Caenorhabditis elegans: one gene and its partners. The protein of the gene in region 1 interacts with the protein of each later gene in a pairwise test. Each region holds a gene or a part of one and is shown in the gene's direction. Other genes may lie near its edges.

What was found.
Region 2: the proteins of C05C10.5 (region 1) and lir-1 interact in a two-hybrid assay, tested with the Caenorhabditis elegans proteins (one large-scale study listed by BioGRID).
Region 3: the proteins of C05C10.5 (region 1) and gla-3 interact in a two-hybrid assay, tested with the Caenorhabditis elegans proteins (one large-scale study listed by BioGRID).

What each region holds. Positions count from the first base shown.
Region 1 is NC_003280.10:9,936,948-9,940,703, forward strand, and holds C05C10.5 (uncharacterized protein), read left to right. Parts: upstream 1-2,092; 5' UTR 2,093-2,279; coding exon 2,280-2,321; coding exon of another isoform or gene 2,322-2,325; intron 2,326-2,366; coding exon 2,367-2,470; intron 2,471-2,518; coding exon 2,519-2,860; intron 2,861-2,916; coding exon 2,917-3,067; 3' UTR 3,068-3,485; downstream 3,486-3,756. Other genes in the region: C05C10.7 (uncharacterized protein), read right to left, coding at 1,196-1,463, 1,508-1,600, 1,655-1,888, 1,939-1,988.
Region 2 is NC_003280.10:7,670,279-7,674,034, forward strand, and holds the start of lir-1 (LIn-26 Related), read left to right. Parts: upstream 1-1,726; 5' UTR 1,727-1,764; coding exon 1,765-1,830; intron 1,831-3,756. Other genes in the region: lir-2 (C2H2-type domain-containing protein), read left to right, coding at 201-381, 433-852, 1,432-1,516.
Region 3 is NC_003279.8:8,212,917-8,216,672, forward strand, and holds the start of gla-3 (C3H1-type domain-containing protein), read left to right. Parts: upstream 1-1,781; coding exon 1,782-1,832; intron 1,833-1,877; coding exon 1,878-2,039; intron 2,040-2,113; coding exon of another isoform or gene 2,114-2,119; coding exon 2,120-2,212; intron 2,213-2,258; coding exon 2,259-2,594; intron 2,595-2,651; coding exon 2,652-2,772; intron 2,773-3,118; coding exon 3,119-3,471; intron 3,472-3,546; coding exon 3,547-3,622; intron 3,623-3,682; coding exon 3,683-3,756. Other genes in the region: Protein dhs-3, read right to left, coding at 145-240, 286-359, 1,150-1,267.

The sequences.
Region 1 (3,756 bases):
AGATGGAAAAACCAGAAAGTCAAATTTGTGGAACAAGGAATCGGTATTAAGTAGAAAAGATTATAATTGTGTGTTGATACTCGATAACAATTTCCGTGTTGCGTATTTGATTTCTTATCAATATTATTTACAATAAAGTAGCGGAAACGTACAAATAAAACGTTTTAGTGATGGGAACGTCTCATTTACTGAAAATAATAAAACCCGGTATCGACACGACAATTTTTTATTTATTACGGTACCAAGTACGCATTCTCATGATTTATTGTTCCCGTAATAACGCGAAGAGGAGTGCGCTTTTAAAATGTACGGTAATTTCAAACTATCGTTTCTGTATGATTTTCATAGATTTTTTCACAGTTTTTCAATTATCTCAAGTATTTCAAAATATTATCAAGAAAACTAAAACAAAACAATAAAAACAGTTAAAGTTTAATGCGAGAAAAAATATAAAAATTTTGCTGCAACGAAATTTTAAAACTACAGTACTCTTTAAAGGTACACATATTTTTTCAATTAACAAACTTTGCAGTGTCGAGACCGGGTTCTGTATTTTTAGTACAAAAGTTGCAAAAATAACGCGTCTGGGTAAAATTTTCAATGTTAATTCCGATGGGGCTCTAGAAAAATCATGATAAATTCACTGAACTAATAAAAATTTAGAAAACTGTTATAAAATCTTAATTTTTAGAGGTAGAATTGTCTAAAGCAAAAAAAAAACTAAAAACCATCAGTAGCCAATAGTCTGAGCGAGTGTGTCACAACTTGAGTACACAAAAACGTTTCTTTTTCGCATTTTTTGTCTACTTTTTATAGAGACGCAGACAGAAAATCAGGGAAAATGAGAAGTGAAGTTAACTGAAGGTCTGGGAAACACGTGGTTGTGAGACTGGCGAAAAGTTTTGAGAAGAAAAATTCGGGTGATATTTGGGAGGAGTTCTGCCTTGAGAAGTTTGATGTTTGAAGTGTGATCTGTGATAAGGATGGGAGGGCAACAGAGACAGGTGGCCAGGACACAAGTGTGCTACTGACGTTAGCTTCTTTTTAAATAAAATTTTCAAATGTAGTTTACTGTCATTTTAGCGAATTGTACAATTAAAAAAATATATATAAATCCGTACATAGTTACGAATAAGAGCAATTTTAATAAAACATATGTTTTTTTTAAATTTTTATTCAAGATTTAAAAGATAACTTAACAAAATCTGCGGTACATAAACCAACAAATAGGAATGACGGCTAATGCACCGGAAACGTATAAAAGTTTCGAAAATTTGGATATAATTGGGGTCTCATCTTGCGCTTCTTGTGTAATCTGGTCCTGAAGATCCTCCACGTCGATCAGCATGATTTTAACAGTTGACCGGAACGCTCGGATCATTTGAAGAAGATTCTTCACATTTTGAGAATCATCAAAGCCCAAATCACGACGTTGTTGAGGAGAATATTCATCAAGGAGCTGTCTTAAAATTGACAATTGATGAAAAGTTTGATTTCCAAGACCGACCCGCAATGAATAAGTTGTCGCTTCATTTTGTGTACTCCCATTTCGGATTTTGTGAGGACGTCGTGGAGACGAATGACGCATACTGACTTTTCTCTGGAAAAAGGCAAATTTAATTCTTTATAAAATGTATACTTTTAAAAAACGCACAGGTTGTTTTCAGGGCAAGCTAGGCTGTTGAAAACTGTACTGGCATCCCAATCCAGAACTTCCGACTCTCCAGCTTCTCCAAACGCTGTTTCTTTTGAAAGTACAACTGGACTTTCTCCCAGAAATGAGCCAACAAACTCGGATTCGAACTTCCTTGGAACCTCTTCCTTTTTGATGATTTTTGGAGTTTCTTCTTCGACTATCAAGAATTCTTTTACATGGATCTGAGGTGATCTGTAAAAGTTAATATTAGAATTATTATTAGTTATTAAAATAAAACAAACCTTAGCTCAAATCCTTGAAATTCTGAATCAGAATCGTCAAAATCTGACATTTTTCAGAAAAGAGTGTTGTAAAACAAAAGAAATTTAAAAAAACTGCGAAACTGTGTATTTTTGCGTCATCGTGTTTGAACTATTTGTGCGCGCGCGTTTAAAAAAAAACAAAAACAATTATTTTCGACCTACTTATTTTATTGATCTGCCTCTATTTTACCGATGAAAGTGTATCAGTCGAAAATTAAAATTATGCGCGGGAAAATTCTGATTTTTTCATTTAAATTTTCGCTTGTCATTCATTCCACAGACCCATTTTTTCTCCCTCTCACCTATTTCACACACTAATTATGGAGCATTTTCATGGAAATCGCTGGGACCAGTTGCGTGCTGTGAGTTCTTGAATTAAAATTCGTTTACAATATTTATATTTTCAGGTAGAAGCTGATATTCTGTGTCCCCCGCCTGCAGATCCATTCCAAATCTTCCCCAGTGGATGGACCAGAGCCTCGGAGCTCAGCGAAAAGGGATGGAGAGAATTGTTTGTCCCAAAATGTTATATAATTGTTTCTATAATAAGATTATTCAGGCTTGACCGCAGAAGATCGCAAAGCCCGCCACCACGTGAACCATCACCAGACGTCAGAAGAGCGATCAGACGGACACCGCCGCCACGTGTCAACCGTGTGGCTCCGATTCGACTTCCAGAGCGGCGTCCATTGCGGCAATTGAACGCCAATGACGCCAGAAGACCAGCACAAGACGCTGCAAATCGCATAAATCAAGAGAATATGCGTGCAGGAAATATCGACAATGGGCAGCCACGTCGTCGAGCACTCTCCCCGACACAATTGCCAGGAGTTCGTGCGATTCCAAAGGACTTCAATCGCTTCTTCCGTGGTCTTCTGACACCTGGAGAGTTCTTTGCCAAGTGAGTTTGGATTTTCTAGCTGTTTTTAGGCTCAATTTAAATATTAAAATTTTCAGATCGCAAACCCGGTATCTTGGGCCATTCGACGAAATGCCAACGGAGGATACACTTCCAGCAGCCGACGAGTACATCATTCTGCAGCGAATGGGACGACTTCCGGATAGCGGTAAATCAATCTTCAGACAGGTCGGCAATCTGTCTACATGATTCCCAGGACTGAAATTGCTGCCCCTCAACGTTTTATCCACATTTTTCCAGTTGAGATCGCATTTTTATCTTTAAAAAATTTACTAAACCTTATTGTTGCCATGAGTCATAATTGTGATATACCTATAATTCCTTAATATAATCAATCTTCTTGAATCCACCCCACTCATTGATTAGTTGTGTGCAATAATAACTTTCGTTTAATGTTTGTAGTCTATTGGTATCGCTGTTTTAGCGTTTTTATGTTGTTTTATAATGAACCAACACCGTTTCCCCATTTATACTTGCGTAGGACAAAAATAAATCAATTGTCTATCAAACTCGGTTCCTTTCTTGTTTTTTTTTTGAAGAATTAAAAAGGTATCACTCCTGTTTCGAGACTATCTAGTGCGATGTAAATTTCGCTCTCAAAAAACCTACTAAATTAAAAAAAGTTTGCCGATAAAAGTATTATTTATTTTTAATTATTGAATTTTTAACACTCTTTGCAAAGTCTTGATGTTCTGTGAAACTTCAAATATTTATTTAAGCGAATCTGAATGCCCTTCTCCAAAAAATTGCATCCTATCAGTGTTAAATTTTGAATTCCCGCAAATTTGCCTACTGCGGGGTCGTAGAAATCCTCTTCCATGTGGCGTTAGTTCGGAGCATCGTTTGCAGTTTGTCATCAAAACTTTTTCGGATTTTTC
Region 2 (3,756 bases), 2.3 Mb from region 1:
TTAAAAAACGAAACAAAAACGAGAAAATTAGATTCACTAAAAAAAGAAGAAATTTCGTTTAAAAAATTTAAAAAATGACCGAAAAACGGAAATTGAGAGATGAAACTAACAATTTTCCTATTTCTCATCAGAAAATTATCACATTAATTTAATTGCAGCTGTTATTTAAATTAAATAAAACATTTTAACCGTTTTTTCAGGTATACCTCGAGCGCCTAGACTCGATACGGTAGAATATTCCAACTATGAACATGAACCTGAAACAGATGAGATTTCTCGAGATGGAACACCATTTTGGTCAACACCAATTCCACCAACTAACAAAGAATTGCCGGTTTCCCCTGTATCACAATTGGACATGACGAATTCAATCAAGAGCAGGTAGAATTAATAAATTAGAATTTTCATTTCATAATTTTTTTTCAATTTCAGAGTGGAACGTGTTGATGTAGAAGTTAAACTGGAACCTTGCAATGACGAAGATGATGAATTTAGTGAAGAAGTTGATGAACAAACTGCTGAATTGGAAGAACAACTAGCAACTGAAGCTATACGGACTGGTTTGGCACTTTTTGGAAAAGTTTCCCCATCTCCAAAACGAATGAAATCATGTGGAAGTTCTGGAAGTGTTTGTGGAGATGTAGTCACAGCGATTTGTGAGATTTGTGGAATTGGAATTCGCCTGAATTCTGGTGGTTCTAAATGGAATTTCTTTGAACACGTAATGATGAAACACTCCACTCATAAACCATTCAAATGTTCCCAATGTCCATATCAAGCTGTACGAAAAGTTCGTGTAAAGCAGCACGGACAATCACAACACAATTCGGAACACGAACCTGTGAATATGATGTGAGTTTTTATTTTGAATTTAAAAAATTTTAAAAAAATTATTTTTTAAAGATTTTAAAAATTGTGCGACAGCTCTTTTTTAGTTGAATCACTAATTCACTGAGATTATTTTTTTTTATCTAATCTCACTCGAAAAGCATGAAAGCCGGTTTCTGTTTTAATTGTATAATTATTTTAAAATGTACGCAATTTGTTTTATAAATTACGAAAATTGCTACTAATGTTGCAGCTGCACCGCAAGATTTTTTTTTTCCATTCTATTTAAAATGGTAATTTTATCCAAATGTGAGGATAAGCCAAAAATTTATTTTTGGCATAAACCCGCAAAAATAGATTTGAAATTTTGAATAAAATGTAAATTTTAGAAATTTTTTTTTCTAGATCATATTTTAGACTAAAAATGTTTCAAAAGAGCATATTTAATTTTTTTTTTAAATTCAATTCTGTCGCAAGATCGCTCCATTAAAAAAAATTAAAAATGTTTGAATAAAATCCAATTCAGACGATGTCCATTTGAAAACTGAATTTAATTCGTTTCATTCCAAAATAAAAAAATCTTACAAAGTCAATTTTTTTCAGAACACCAGAAGTACGAAAAGAATGGCTGGATACAATGGCAAAGTGTTTCCCGAATCATCAATATGGAAAAGAAGCAAAAATTTAATAGTTTCTTTAAATTTTTTTCGTTGATATTTATAATATTTTCTTTTAATTTTAAGTTTTACAACGCAAATTTTGTTCTTACTCGATTTTCAATAAAATCGTCGGTCTTTTTATTATTTGTGGTAATTTCTTTTTTCTTATTTAAATAGTTATTTCTATTTCTGAATATCTTTATCGTGCTCTTGTAATTCCTAATAATATAAATAATATACATAGGTGTCGTCTTCGTACGATTCGAACCCGGCCGGGATGCCGAAATTTGTGGTCATCGAACTGAACGATGATGCAGCAACGATCGATCTTCTCAGTTATTGCGTGAGTTTTTTTATTTATAAAAATTATCTAAAATATTGATTTACTCATTTTCTCTGGTTTGAAACTTTGCATAGAACTTCCAATTGTACCTCTGATTCCTTTTTCGGTCCATATTAACCATTGGTATCCCCTAATTATTCGAATCGACTTCCTAAACAAGGGTGCCGCTGAAAAAATTGTCGGTTTTTTTTGTTGAGAAAATCCAAAAAAATTCACTTTTGAAAAAAAAACGAAAAATTCCGTTTTTTTTTTAAAGAAAAAATCGAAAAAAAATTTGAAAACACTTTTCTTATACGGAATTCAAAATTTAAGTTGATTAAAGTTTTTTTTCAAACAAGTAACCGAGATTTTATTATTTTTTTTGGACTTTACAATTTTTTAAGTGTAATTGAAAATCAATAAAAACTTTTTTTCTGAAAATCGAAAACAAATTTTTTCCGTTTTTTCGCTCTTCCAAAATCCGAAAAAAAGTGCGGTCTGATGCTAACCAAGGATTTCTTTTAAAAAATGTCAATTTTTCTGTTTGAGAAATAATCGAAAATCTAACTTTTTTTTGAGCAATTTTTGTTAAATTTTGATAAATTTCGAAAAATAAATTTTTTAGTTTTTTTGTCTAAAAATGCCAATTTTTTTGAGAGATAATCGAAAAACGAACTTTTTTGGTTTTCCGAAAAAAAAATCAAAATTTAATTTTGTTGAATATAAAACACAAAAGAAAATATAATTTCCTTCTAAAAAAAGCCCAGGCGCTGAAATTTCGAGCAATTTTTGAGAAATTTCGAAAAATCAAAAAACCAAAATTTGTTGAATTTCCAACAAAAAAAACCGAAAAAGCGACACCCTTGATCCTAAAATGTAGGGATTCAACATAACCTATAACTTCTATTCTCTTAGAAATCAGATTTTTGAAGTATAGACTAGCTTGAACATCACTGCAAACATTTTTTTTATATTTCTCCTAAAACCTCTACTCTATCAATGATCTCTCAATTCCAAGCTCTTTCTTTCGCACGATGCTCATTTCGAATTCGACATATATAGCTCCTTTTTTCGGTGCTTCTCCTGTACATAAGAGATCGATGAAATCAATCGTCGTGGCGCTCTCATAAATGTGCAGAAAGGAAGCAAGAGCTGCAGCCAACTGCTGCATCGGCGTCCGTATTTTTTGTTCGCTCTGTTCCCTTTTCCATTTATGCGAGCAACACGGTGATGCTACTTTCATCGACGAGAGATAGTATATGTTGAACGGAGGATTTGAATGTTTCTGTTCACGGAGCAACCGTCCGTTTTCTTTCTCTCAGTATCATCCTCTACCCTTTTTCGAAATATTTCTATATTTGATACTGGAAATTGGTTAATTTTCGCATTTGACAGGTTTGCTCATTTATCGAGATTTTTTAAATCTAAATTCTAAAATCATTAGCGACAATAACTAAAAATATAAATTAATCAATAATTTTCCTGAAACATTAAAATTCCATTTAGTTCTGGTATTTCTGTCCGAACTAATCTTGTAATTGAATAATCTATATTTCATCACAATGTCTTTCTTTTTCTTCTATTCTACGAATACATTTTTGCCTGTACGAGCTCATAATAGAACGCGTTGGCGCCTGCCTCACTTTCAGCATCGTCCGAAGTGTACATACCTCCTGTTCTCCATCATCGTCTTCTCCCATCCCTTTCTCTTTCTCCCATACCGGGTATTGAGCGCCTGTATGCACAATGCACACAACTGACAAAACTGTACTCGTCGCGTCGTTGTCGCCGTTGTCGTGTGCCCCGGCGAGCGCAACCAACAACAAAACTGTGTGAGCGCTGTTAACACCATTTCTTCTATCACCTTCTAAGCATCCCGGTTTGAAAGCGGGTGGTAAGGTGTCCGATATTATAAAACCGCAGCACAATGCTTAGAATGTGTGTGTG
Region 3 (3,756 bases), on another chromosome or scaffold:
ACCATGTAATCTAAAAAAACAATGTAGGCACAGGGATGCCTACGTACCTATCTACACACAAGTTTTTTTCGACCTTTTGTGTAGACTAACTTAAACCCTTTAACTTTTCGTGGCGCGGTCAACATTTTGTTTTAAATCACTTACCAATCCAGCAACACCACACTTTCCAGCCATTGAAGCAATTGTTACAATATGCCCTTTATTCGACTCGAGCATGCCGGGAAGGAAATTTTTGGTAGTCTGGAAAATTTCGGTATTCTCTTTTCAACAAAAGTCATATCTTACAAAGAACAAAGCATTTGTGTTAACTGAAACAGTCTTGACCATCAGCTCATCTGGACATTGCAGCAACTTTTTTCCTTGAAATGTTTTTATGAAAAGATATTATGGGAATACTAATTTCTGAGAATGCGTATTGCGCAACATATCAGACGCGCAAAATATCTCGTAGCGAAAACTACAGTAATTCTTCAAATTACTACTGTAATTTTTGTGTGAAGTAACAATGGGTTCACTGAACCTTTTCGAAAGTCTTATCATTTTATTTATTTTATTGATTTTTGTTTTCTCTCTTTATCTGGCATATTTCGCTTAAAATGAAAAATATGTAATACGCTAAACTTCGTATGTTTCTAAATCTCTACAGTATGCAATTAGCAAGGGATGTGCTTTTTTGCCAGTGGGTCCCGCCGCGCCATTCAAATTCATTTAATTAATACCATGTGTATTGCGACTCTTCATTGTGTCTTCGAGACCCGAAGAACTCGGGGGATGTCCAATTGGGGGGATTACCAACTCGGGGATTGGCCCCGCCCACAGAACCGTGGCTTGCAATACGCCCATTTCTGCAACTGCCGCACGGTTTCGAAACTGTATTTTTCTCAATAGAGCGAGATTTAACAAGAAAAATACAGTTTCAAAACCGTGCGGCAGTTGCAGAAATGGGCGTATTGCAAGCCACGGTTCTGTGGGCGGGGCCAATCCCCGAGTTGGTAATCCCCCCAATTGGACATCCCCCGAGTTCTTCGGGTCTCGTGTCTTCTACAGGAAAAAATTAACTCTATAAGGAACAAAATTATTATTTACTGTGTTTTTGTATTGTACATGAATTTTTCAGAAGTTTGGATGTTTTCAGCCGACTGTACTTACCCGTCACAATTCCAGCGTTGTTCACGAGAATATCTACTTTCCCTACTTCACTTTTAACCAAATCGGCGGTTCTATTGATTTCTTTGTATTCCGATAGGTCCACTGTGTATGCTTTAGCCTGAAAGATATAGAAATGAAACAGTATACAAATCGCAGAGACGCAGAGAAACGCACAACGACACTCCGAAATGACGATCGCGCGTTGTTTAGCGTGTCATTTGAATTTGTACTTTTTCTCATTTGCTTACCTAAATTTATTCAACTTCTCTTTGTTTCCCATTTTTGAGTAAAATATTTTTAAAAAAGCCATTTTCAGATTCTAAATCGTATTTTTCTGTAAATAGATGAGTAGCTCTGCGTCAAAAACTCAGGAAATAAGGTATATTCTTCGTATGAATAACTAATTGCTAAAAACAAAATTTTCAGCGTCGTCATAGATCCCCGTGATGCGCTTACAAACAGCACCAACGGCAATAAACCAAACGGCCCAAAACCGAAAGTAAGATCAGAAAAGCGGTAGTTCGTGAGAAACTAGAGCAGAAGGGGGTAGAGGAAAAAACTAAAGCTAAAAAAATAACTAGAAATTAGTGTTTAATAAAACATTTTATTTTCTCCATCCTACTCACCCAACCATGCTTTATCAACCATCTTTGTTAAAAAGTCGACTTACTCCTGCTCCGCCGGTAATTTTCGGAAAAAGTGTATTTTTGGTTTATAATAAAATTCAGGGGTTTTCTTTTCAACCTCAGCCTCTATTGAACTCAGATATGGATCCAGTCAGAAATTTAGAAAGTCTAGGGAACTACACGGTGTATCAAGATTCTTCTCAATGTTTTTGGCAACATCAAAATTTTACCTCCAATCGAGAGCATAACCCCGCATTAAGGAAGGTTCTATTTTTGGAAAAACGTTTTAATTTCTTAACACTTCAATATTTTAATTAAGATCTACTCATTCCTTGTAGTTTCAGACAAAGATTTGCGATCACTGGCGACGCTCGGGCAGCTGTTCGTATGGCGACGCGTGCTGGTATGCTCACGGTGAAGACGATCTTCGTAAAGTGGTCAGTTAAGCAGCGTAGGAAACATCAAAGAAATCTGGTTTTTCAGGTCCGGATTGATCGTTCGAACGAAGAAGAGAATGAGCGACCGGCTACTGCTGAAATTCAAAAGTCGCCGACAAAGCGTGCATCAACCAACGTCAAAGGATTAACAGTGAATATTCCATCGAATACTGCCTTCAAAGAACAAAACTCTTCGATGCCGTTATCTCCAGCTCAGGAAAGATGGATTTCCATGTCAATTGGAGCTGTACCACCACCAACCAGCTCAGCTGCAGAGAAGGATGCGATTTCATCATTATCTAAAAACGGTGTCGAGCAAGAACAGGAAAAGAAGCATGAAATATGTTCTCGTGACGATGATATTGACGATTACGGATTTTTGGTTAGTTTTGTAACTTCAAGAATAACTTTCGGTTGAAACTGAACAACTTGTTTTCAGTCTCCGAATCCGTTCCCATACCCGCAACAGTCAATGTTCTCAGCTGGATTTCCATCTCATGGACACCATCAACGTTCCTCGAATCGTGCTACGCAAGGGGTTCCTTCTCAACAATTTGGAGGTATAGAGATTTCACGAGGTTTTCTCGAATTTAATGAAATGAGTCTCAGCCCGCTGAAATTTTTATGGTAGTCTTTTTGAATTGTTGCGGCTGATTTCTCGTTTTCTTGAATTTTTCAAAACAATGACTTAGTTTTTATCAATCTTTATCGTTTTCTATTCATTTTTTTTGCTAAAATTAGTTTAAATCAGTTTTTGGAGTATAAATTAAAAAAGACTATCATAAACTTTTTATACGTCGAGACCCTGAATGAATCCGTGCGCCTTCAAGAAAACATGTCAAATTCTAGTGAAATTACGACAAGTTTTTCTTCAGAGATTTTTTAAATCAAAATTCATTGTTACAGGGCCAGTCAACATCCCTGGTCAAGATCCGAATCGTTTGGGATCTGGAGCATACCATATCCCACCACAGCACCAAAGATCAAGATCCAATGTTCGTACTTCACGAGAGGTCGGCGGTCCCCCTCCGCAATTTCAACAAGCGATTTGGAATGTTGCTGGTGAAATCTATCAACGTCAGAAGGACATAGAGATAGGCGGACAGAGAGTTGGACCCAATGATCGTCAACCGACTCAACAGAAAAATTCGGAAATGGATCGACTTTTGTCTAAACTGAAAATGAAAGATTTGAACTACCTTCGTTTTATGATAGAGCGAGGATATATCAACGAGCGTGACGTGTCTAGGCAAACTTCGGTGAGTGGTGTCTCAGGTTTTTCTTTTTTCACAATTTCTTTTAGATTTAAAAAAATTCAAACAATTTTTGTTCAGAGTGATCAAATGAGTAATGGTCATCACTTCAATGCTCCTATGACCCCACCATACCATCCACGACTTGCAGGAAACGGTAAGATTGAAATCAACCAAATAAATAGGAAAATTGATCGAACTATTGCATACATTTTAGAACCAAATACTTCGGACTGTCATTACCATGGAACTGGAAATCGTTTATCAAATTTCATGCCAGGACGTCATCGT